Linked DNA regions of Ovis aries. Each later gene encodes a partner of the first gene's protein in a complex. Links are inferred from orthologs where the notes say so. Each region holds a gene or a part of one and is shown on either strand. Other genes may lie near its edges. The genes, in order: SMURF1 and SMAD1.

The links.
Region 2: the proteins of SMURF1 (region 1) and SMAD1 are in contact, whole or in part, in an NMR structure (PDB 2LB1), measured with the Homo sapiens proteins. The link is inferred for Ovis aries from reciprocal best matches to the Homo sapiens genes SMURF1 and SMAD1. Residues at the interface, in NP_065162.1 of Homo sapiens: Glu313, Val314, Arg315, Ser316, Arg321, Tyr323, Val325, Asp326, His327, Arg330, Thr331, Thr332, Gln333, Phe334; in NP_001003688.1 of Homo sapiens: Asp221, Thr222, Pro223, Pro224, Pro225, Ala226, Tyr227, Leu228, Pro229, Pro230, Glu231, Asp232.

The regions. Positions count from the first base shown.
Region 1 is NC_056077.1:37,690,964-37,694,047, forward strand, and holds part of SMURF1 (E3 ubiquitin-protein ligase SMURF1), read left to right. Parts: intron 1-956; coding exon 957-1,041; intron 1,042-2,291; coding exon 2,292-2,391; 3' UTR 2,392-3,084. UniProt on the Homo sapiens protein: E3 ubiquitin-protein ligase that acts as a negative regulator of BMP signaling pathway. Mediates ubiquitination and degradation of SMAD1 and SMAD5, 2 receptor-regulated SMADs specific for the BMP pathway.
Region 2 is NC_056070.1:12,882,350-12,886,613, reverse strand, and holds the start of SMAD1 (mothers against decapentaplegic homolog 1), read left to right. Parts: upstream 1-1,190; 5' UTR 1,191-1,389; intron 1,390-1,667; exon of another isoform or gene 1,668-1,876; intron 1,877-1,943; exon of another isoform or gene 1,944-4,264. UniProt on the Homo sapiens protein: Transcriptional modulator that plays a role in various cellular processes, including embryonic development, cell differentiation, and tissue homeostasis.

The DNA.
Region 1 (3,084 bases):
CAGCAAGGCCAGGGGGGCCGGGATAGTGGGTGGGTTCCCCGCGCCCAATAGAACAGATGGCGTTGGGGGAGGAAAGCAGCTATAAAGCGCTCGGGTCAACTTCAGAGTTCTCCCGAGCGAGCGCATAAGCACGCTGTGCAGGCTGGGCCCTCGGTCCCCTCATCCGTTGGCCCGCCTGGTCGGCTGCCTTGTCCAGCAGGGAGCCGTCCTCCCAGGTGTCCCTTTCGGCTCAGACTGGGTCCCCGGGAAGGGGGCTGGGGGCGGCCGTGCACAGTATTGCAGCTGAGCTCAGAAGGGGCTGTGGGGCTTGTGGTGGCTCCTCCACCCGGGAAGGGCCTCTCCTGCGCGCTGATGCTAAATCTGGGGGTTTTGTCACTTGATAACCCTGGCAGAAGGTTGAGAATACTAGTATCTTAAAACTTAGTAAGTGGACTTCACGTGTTCCTAGTGAGAGCGGGCAGGTTTCACGCAAACGTTCCCTGTAGCCTTGTCCTTAGCCTGAGGCCCTCCTGGACTGAGACGTTCCCTCCTGTCCTGGGGCTTTGGTCCTGGTGTTTGTGTCTGTCTGTCTTCCCACCGGCCTCTGCACAGGGGGTTTCCTGACTCCAGAACCCGCTTGCCATCCGCTGCCAGCAGGGGGTCTGCTTGCTAGACATTCCTGGTTTTAAAAACAAATTCCTGGTGACTTAAGGATTCTTTCAGACGCCTGCCCTGGGGCAGGCTCACGGTCGGCTGTGAGAGGACAGCTGTCTGTGCTCTTCTGCGCCCGTGAATTTCCTAGAATGTCTGATGTTAGTCACTCTGTGGCCACCATGTGCATATCCCGAGACTGCGCAGAGCTCCCAGGGTTATGTGCACCCGACACCGTCTGGCAGGACGGGCAGGGGGCCCCGGGTGGTGGCAGGGGGCCTGGGCCCCACCTCTGAAGCGTGTTAACTAGACTGTGGTCTCGTAAGGCTCTACAGGCGCCGCAGGGCCCCGGCTCTTCACCATCCACCTGATCGACGCCAACACGGACAACCTGCCCAAAGCCCACACCTGGTAAGGACCGGCGCCCCACCCTGGGGGTCCGTCTGCGGGGCAGCCCACACGTCAGGGTCAGCACGAGGCTCTTTCAGGAGCGCAGTTAAGTCCCAAGACGTGGCTGACCTTGGAGCTACTCCCCGACCCCTGCTGCGTGTGTGTGCGTGTCCGTGTGTGCGTGTGTGTCCCTGTGTGCGTGTTTCCCTGTGCGTGCGCGTACCGGTGCCGTCAGGAGGGGGCACTGCAGGTTTAAGTCTGGGGTTCCTGGTCTCTTCCTTCTTGGACCTCTGCCTGTGCCAGACGTCCTTGTGTACTGAAAAATGTTTCCTCCCTCAGTCTTCACTTAAACAATACTTGTAGTGGGGTTAGTCCCTTTGTGGTTTAAAAATCTATTCACTCATTCACCCTTGTGAACCACGTCGTGAGTGTCCCTCCAGTTGACCAGAACCGGTTCTAGACGCTGCCGGGACGCATGGTGACGTTGCGGGAGGTTCCTGGCTGGGAACCGGGGCTGGGGGTCCCACGCTGACCACGACATCCAAGTGGGTGGGCCTCCATGTCTGTGAGACAGAGGACAGCCCCCTGGCCCACGTGAGTCTGTGTCCAGCGGGGTCGACCCCCAGGGCCACCTCTCCCACCCCAGCAGGCTTATGTCCTTGGGGTCAAGGACCCCTGAAAAAGACTCCACACCCTGTAGCCTGACGCCTCCTCAGAAACTGTCCTAATGGCTTAACCCCTAGTAGTGCAAGAGGCCTCTGTGTGTCCTCTCAGTCAGAATTCTGTAGTTTTGGATTCATTGTGAGGTAAATAGATTCTTAGGGCTTTTGGACACAGCCTTGGGAATGAACATCCCTGAGGAAATGCTGGCCCGTTCATCTAATCCCGTTGGGGATCTGCCATCTTGTTGGTTTTGAGAGACAGTCTATCTCTGCCGGAAATACTCCGGACTGGCCAGCTGTGGTTAGCCCGGGTCCTGGAGAGTTTGGTGCCGGGCAGTGAGCCAAGAGTGGGGTTTAGACCACGGTGCTCTGCAGCTGTGATCCTGGTCTGAGAAGTGACTTCTCCCCAAACAAGAAACCAAACGAGGTGACAGCTTTGTCCTAATCTGCCCAGGATGCACTCACCTGGTTTCACTGGTTTGAAAATCTTTGCCCAAGAAGCCCCAGGTGTACACACAAGTGCTCAGCCGCCCGCCCTCGCCCCTCTCCCGGGAGCAGGCCCTCGGCCAGGCCAGCTCGGCGGTGTGTCTCACCTCTGTCTGTTTCCAGCTTTAACCGGATCGACATCCCGCCCTACGAGTCGTATGAGAAGCTCTATGAGAAGCTGCTGACGGCGGTGGAGGAGACCTGTGGCTTTGCCGTGGAGTGAGGTGCACCCCGAGGAGCAGACACAAGCTCACGGCCACCAGACCCCGAGCGGCAGCTCTCTGGATGCCTCTGTAAAGCCGGCTGAGGCCCTGGAATCCTAGAAACCCGAGGGAAAGGCTGGTCTCCCCTGCTTTTCGCTGGGGGAGCGAGGGGGCGGGCAGACTGCGGCTGGTGGCTCCTCCCACATTCTCCCCCTCCTGGCAGGAACCCCCCCCACATCCACCCCATCCAATAAACGCAGCCAGGTCAGCACGGCTTCGGTCACACGGGACCCTCCACTAAGGCCGCAGCACTCGCAGTGGCAGCTCAGTGCCCGTGGGCTCCATAGGAGTCTCGACCCCCAGGGAGGGAGCTGCGTGGGGCGGCCCGGGGCACACCCCACAGCTGGACCTGCTGCTCTGTCTCAAAGCCGACCTAAGGCCCCTTTTTGAGTTCAGCAGCTCGGATTCCACACCCCCCGTCCAGCGGCCTGCTCTGGGTAGCAGGTTAAGTTCTAACTGACAGTAACCGTAAAATAGATGCTTGCTGGAGTTCCGCCACTGCAGGAAGCTGGCGTCAAGACTGTGCTTCCGGTTTGGAAGGGGACACAAGTTGGAGCGGCTTGCGCTGGAGGCCTGGGTGTTTCTTTTCAGGGTTTCCTGGCTGAAAACTTTGTTCTGCAGAGAGAAAAATGATCTTTCCTTTTCAGAGTCCC
Region 2 (4,264 bases), on another chromosome or scaffold:
AGAAAAGCTGAATGCTGAAGAATTGATGCTTTTGAACTGTGGTGTTGGAGAAGACTCTTGAGAGTCCCTTGGACTGCAAGATCCTACCAGTCCATTCAAAAGGAGATCAGTCCTGGGTGTTGGTTGGAAGGATTGATGCTGAAGCTGAAACTCCAATACTTTGGCCACCTCAGGCAAAGAGTTGACTCATTGGAAAAGACTCTGATGCTGGGAGGGATTGGGGGCAGGAGGCGAAGGGGACGACAGAGGATGAGATGGCTGGATGGCATCGCCGACTAGATGGACATGAGTTTGGGTGAACTCCGGGAGTTAGTTGGTCATGGGCGGGGAGGCCTGGCGTGCTGCGATTCATGGGGTCGCAAAGAGTCGGACACAACTGAGCGACTGAACTGAACTGAATGTTCCATTGTATGGATATAGCATACTCTCTTTATCAAAGGAGGGTTTGAGCAGAGGAATGACCTGATCAGAGTGGCATTTAACAAGGCTCACTCCAACTATTGTTTCAAGGAGTAGAGAATGAAGAATTGTGTCAAATGTTGATTTTAGGGAAAATGAGATGAGGCCCAAGAATTGATCTGTAATTGCTCAAATCATTTAATGAAGAAATTAGCAGAAATAGTCTGATCTGTGTATAAACACGGTTTACATATTTCGGGGGACTTGTTGCATTTCCTTTGAATAATTAAACATGGAATGCAGAAATAATAAAATAGCTAATAAGAATTTTAAATGAATGTGCACATGTAAAAGTACACGAACAATTGGAGAGTACCATTAATTTTCTAAAAATACTGGTGGTAATGGTTCTTTTGGTACACGTGAAATTTATTCCTCAGAATAATTATTCGCCTCTAAACATAATTCATCATTATGGTAATTATCCAAGATTTCGTGCCAGCTTACAGAGAGCTGGCCAAGAGAAAAATTAAATCTTACAAAAAGACACTGTCAATGTCTATGCAGATCAGGTTGCTGGGAGTTAGTTCGTTTTATTTGGGGAAGTTCGTGCGTGACATTTGAAAGACTTAGAAACTGGATGGAAAAATTGTTAAGTTATATTGTGGTATTTGTCATCTGGAGCAACGAGGTAACCAACTGGCATCATTAGATCCCGAACTGGCATAAAACACACGTATTGATTGATTCAAGGTTTGCTATAAACACAGGCAATAGTCATTAGGTTATCCAGTTCTGCGTACGAGCAACTTTTGGGGCTTGCAAATCACTGAGTAAGTGAAGGGCAAGGAAAACTAGACAGTAAAAAGGCGAGGCTCGAAAGGTAATTGTCAAAATGCACTCTGCGTTTCCAATGCGGTTCGGTGGGCACGGTGGGAGTGTAGATGAACATTTCGGAAATAAACACTGAAAGCGAAACTTCACCGGCAGGTAAGGCACAAGTCGGTTCCCCCTGGACTCAAGGAGGCAGGGGCAGTAGTGTTTTCTCCTTGGAACAAGCGGGGCGTGGGGCTGGAGGCGGGGGAGGCGGCGCGGGCTCAGCGCTCGCGCCGGCAGGGCCGGGAATTTGGAGAGGATCCCTGGTCGGGCGGCGGTGGCGCGCGGGTGCGCGTGTGAGCGAGCGAGCAGGCGGGCGGGCGAGTGCGCCGAGTATTGGCAGCCGAGGAGTGGAGGCTGGGCGGCTCCGACTCCCTGACGCCAGCGCGACCAGATCAATCCAGGCTCCGGGAGCGAGCGAGCGGGCGAGCGGGCGGGCGGAGGAAGGAGAGGCCGAGCCGCTGAGCCCGGGCCGAGGCTCGGGGAGGGACCCTGCGAGCGCAGCGCGGCGCAGCTCCCGGTCGCCCGGACCGGGGCCGCGGGGGACCCGGCTCGCCCGGCCAACTCGTGCGCCCGCGCGGATGGGCGCGCAGCCAACCCGGTAAAACGAAACAGACCCGAACCCAACTTTCCCCTCCGCCGCGTCCCCGCCCTCCCCTCGGCGCTCCGGGCTTTCCAGCGCCGCCGCCTCGGGCTGGGGCGGGCGCGGGCGGGCCGGGTGGCCGCGACGGAGCGCGGGGCCGGTGGCGCGGACTGCGGCGGGGAGGGGGGTCTCTTCCCCGCGTGGGGCGGATCGGGGGACCCCCACCCCCGCCCATGATGGCGCCTCCCGGCCGCTCTAAAGGAGCAAACCTGCCACCTTTTTCCCTCGGCGCCGGACCAGCCGGGCTGGGCTCGGGCCGCGGTGCCCCCCGCGTCTTTGTTGGGTCTGCGGTGCGGAACCGCGCTCCGAGGCTCCCGGGCTCCCGGCCCTGGCTGCGCCCGGCCCTCTGCGGCCACCCTCCCCCTCCGCCGGTTTCCCTTTCCCTTCCTGCAGCCGGGCCTGGGCACTCGGCGCGGCCCGCGGGCCCATTGTGTCCCGCGCCGGCCCGGGCGACCCCTGCAGGAGTCGGAGGGCGGCCGCCGGCGCTGCCCTTTCCGCGGAGCCGGGCTTGCGCCAGGGGGACACCCGGTGCCCTGGGTCCCTCCGCGTGCGGGGCGGGCTCCCTCCTCTGCCCCCACTAGCCTCTTGGGGGTCGAGGTCAAGGAAAGTTCGCACCGAAATTCCCTCTAATTTATTCAAAGGTCTGGCGGCGGCGGCGTGTAAATTTTTTTTTTTTCTCTTCCGCCTACCCCCCCTCCCCCGCGCCAAGTCTCAGAGTGTCGTCTCATTCCTTTCCCTTTCCCGGATTCGATTGCCTCACTGCGTGTGTGTTTGTGAGTTCGCGGTGCAACAACTGTTCATTTACTCTGCGCTCGGTCTTTGTTAAGTGTTTCTCGGGGTTGTTGTTGCGGGAAGGTGGGGGTGGTGGGTGTGAAAGAGATGTGGGCTTGTTTTTCTAGTTGATTTATATATATTTATATATGAAGGCTTCCAGGGAGAGCGTTTTCTTGATGTACTTTGGGAAGGGCTGGGGAACCGATGCCTGCAGGATCTTACAACTACAGTAGCTGCGGCTTTTGTTTATTTTGCGGCGCGGACGTTGTTTCCATGCACTTGCAAGATCGCCGGTAAGGCACTTCCCTTTCTGAAAATCCGGGCGCGTCTCCCAGCCATCTCCCGAGAAAGCATCGTTGTCGAAAGGGCTGTGACAACCGGCCCCTGTTTGTTTCCCCTGAGGTTCTCTTGCCATTGTAGCTGAAGTTTCTTGAGTAGGTGGAATGACACAGAAGTTGCCTGATTTCTCGGTGTGCTGTTTCTGCTGCTGAAACTTTGAGCACGCCGCTCGATAGCAGAATGCCTTGATTTCAGAACATTTCTCGCTCTCGTGGCCTGCCGTGGATAGCGTGCTTACATTCAGGAACACAGTGAGAAAACTGTTCTCTGCGCTCTGTTGAGTTTTCATCTTGTTTCTAATAACCGCGTGATGCTTTATTGGAGGTAGGTGAGCTGTACTGGAGCCATGATTGAAAAAGAATCGGGACCGAATCAATGTTCACAGCCCCGGGATTTTTCAGTGGTTTAAATATTTTGCATCAGTGTTACTCTGTTGGAGGGGTCAGGCCTGAATATGCTGTAACTGATTTAAGTGTTTGTGCTCTCCTCTCCCTCCGTCCTTCCCGTTTGCAGTTATTTGATATTTCTGTGCAGGTGGTGTACATTTGTGCACTATTGCAATTCTTTAGGAAACTATAACCAGGGTCTTGGGAGGTGGTTTTCTAGAGGTGGGTGATGCCAAAGCCTCTGGAGGATCCGGGCAGGATCAGGTTTCTTCTGAGGGTAGGGATTTGTCCTTGATTTAGTTTTGACCGCTCCAGCCATAGGTATGTAACAGAATACATTTTTCCTTTTTTCAGTGTCCTTTGGTGTTATACCCCTGAGGAGCTGATGACCTTTGCATTTTAGAGAATTGACAATTCTTAGGCCATTTAAAATGTTAATTTATACCTCTTGGAATTCAGTTTTCTACTAAGCTCAATGAAGCATTAAAAGGAAGTATCTCATTTTTCCAAATACATTTATTAGTTGAAAACTAAACTGCAGTTTGTAATTTTGATTTCTAGTAATTCTGGGTTTAATAACTTGGTTAGATTGGAAAAAGAATAAACTTGAGTGTAATTAGATGAGTGTATTTAAGCTGCAGTCACCGCCATAATCAAGGCCAAGTTGTGTGTGTATAAAAGATCTCATTTGTGTAGTCTTACAAGGCTAATGGAGGCATCATTGAGGCTTTATAAATAATGTAAGTTGTGTATAATGTAGAGTCTCCAGAGACGGCACAGAAAGCATCATTACCAGCCTTTTCAACCTGCTTGAGATCTTAAATTGATTTACAGCACTGAACTGGTG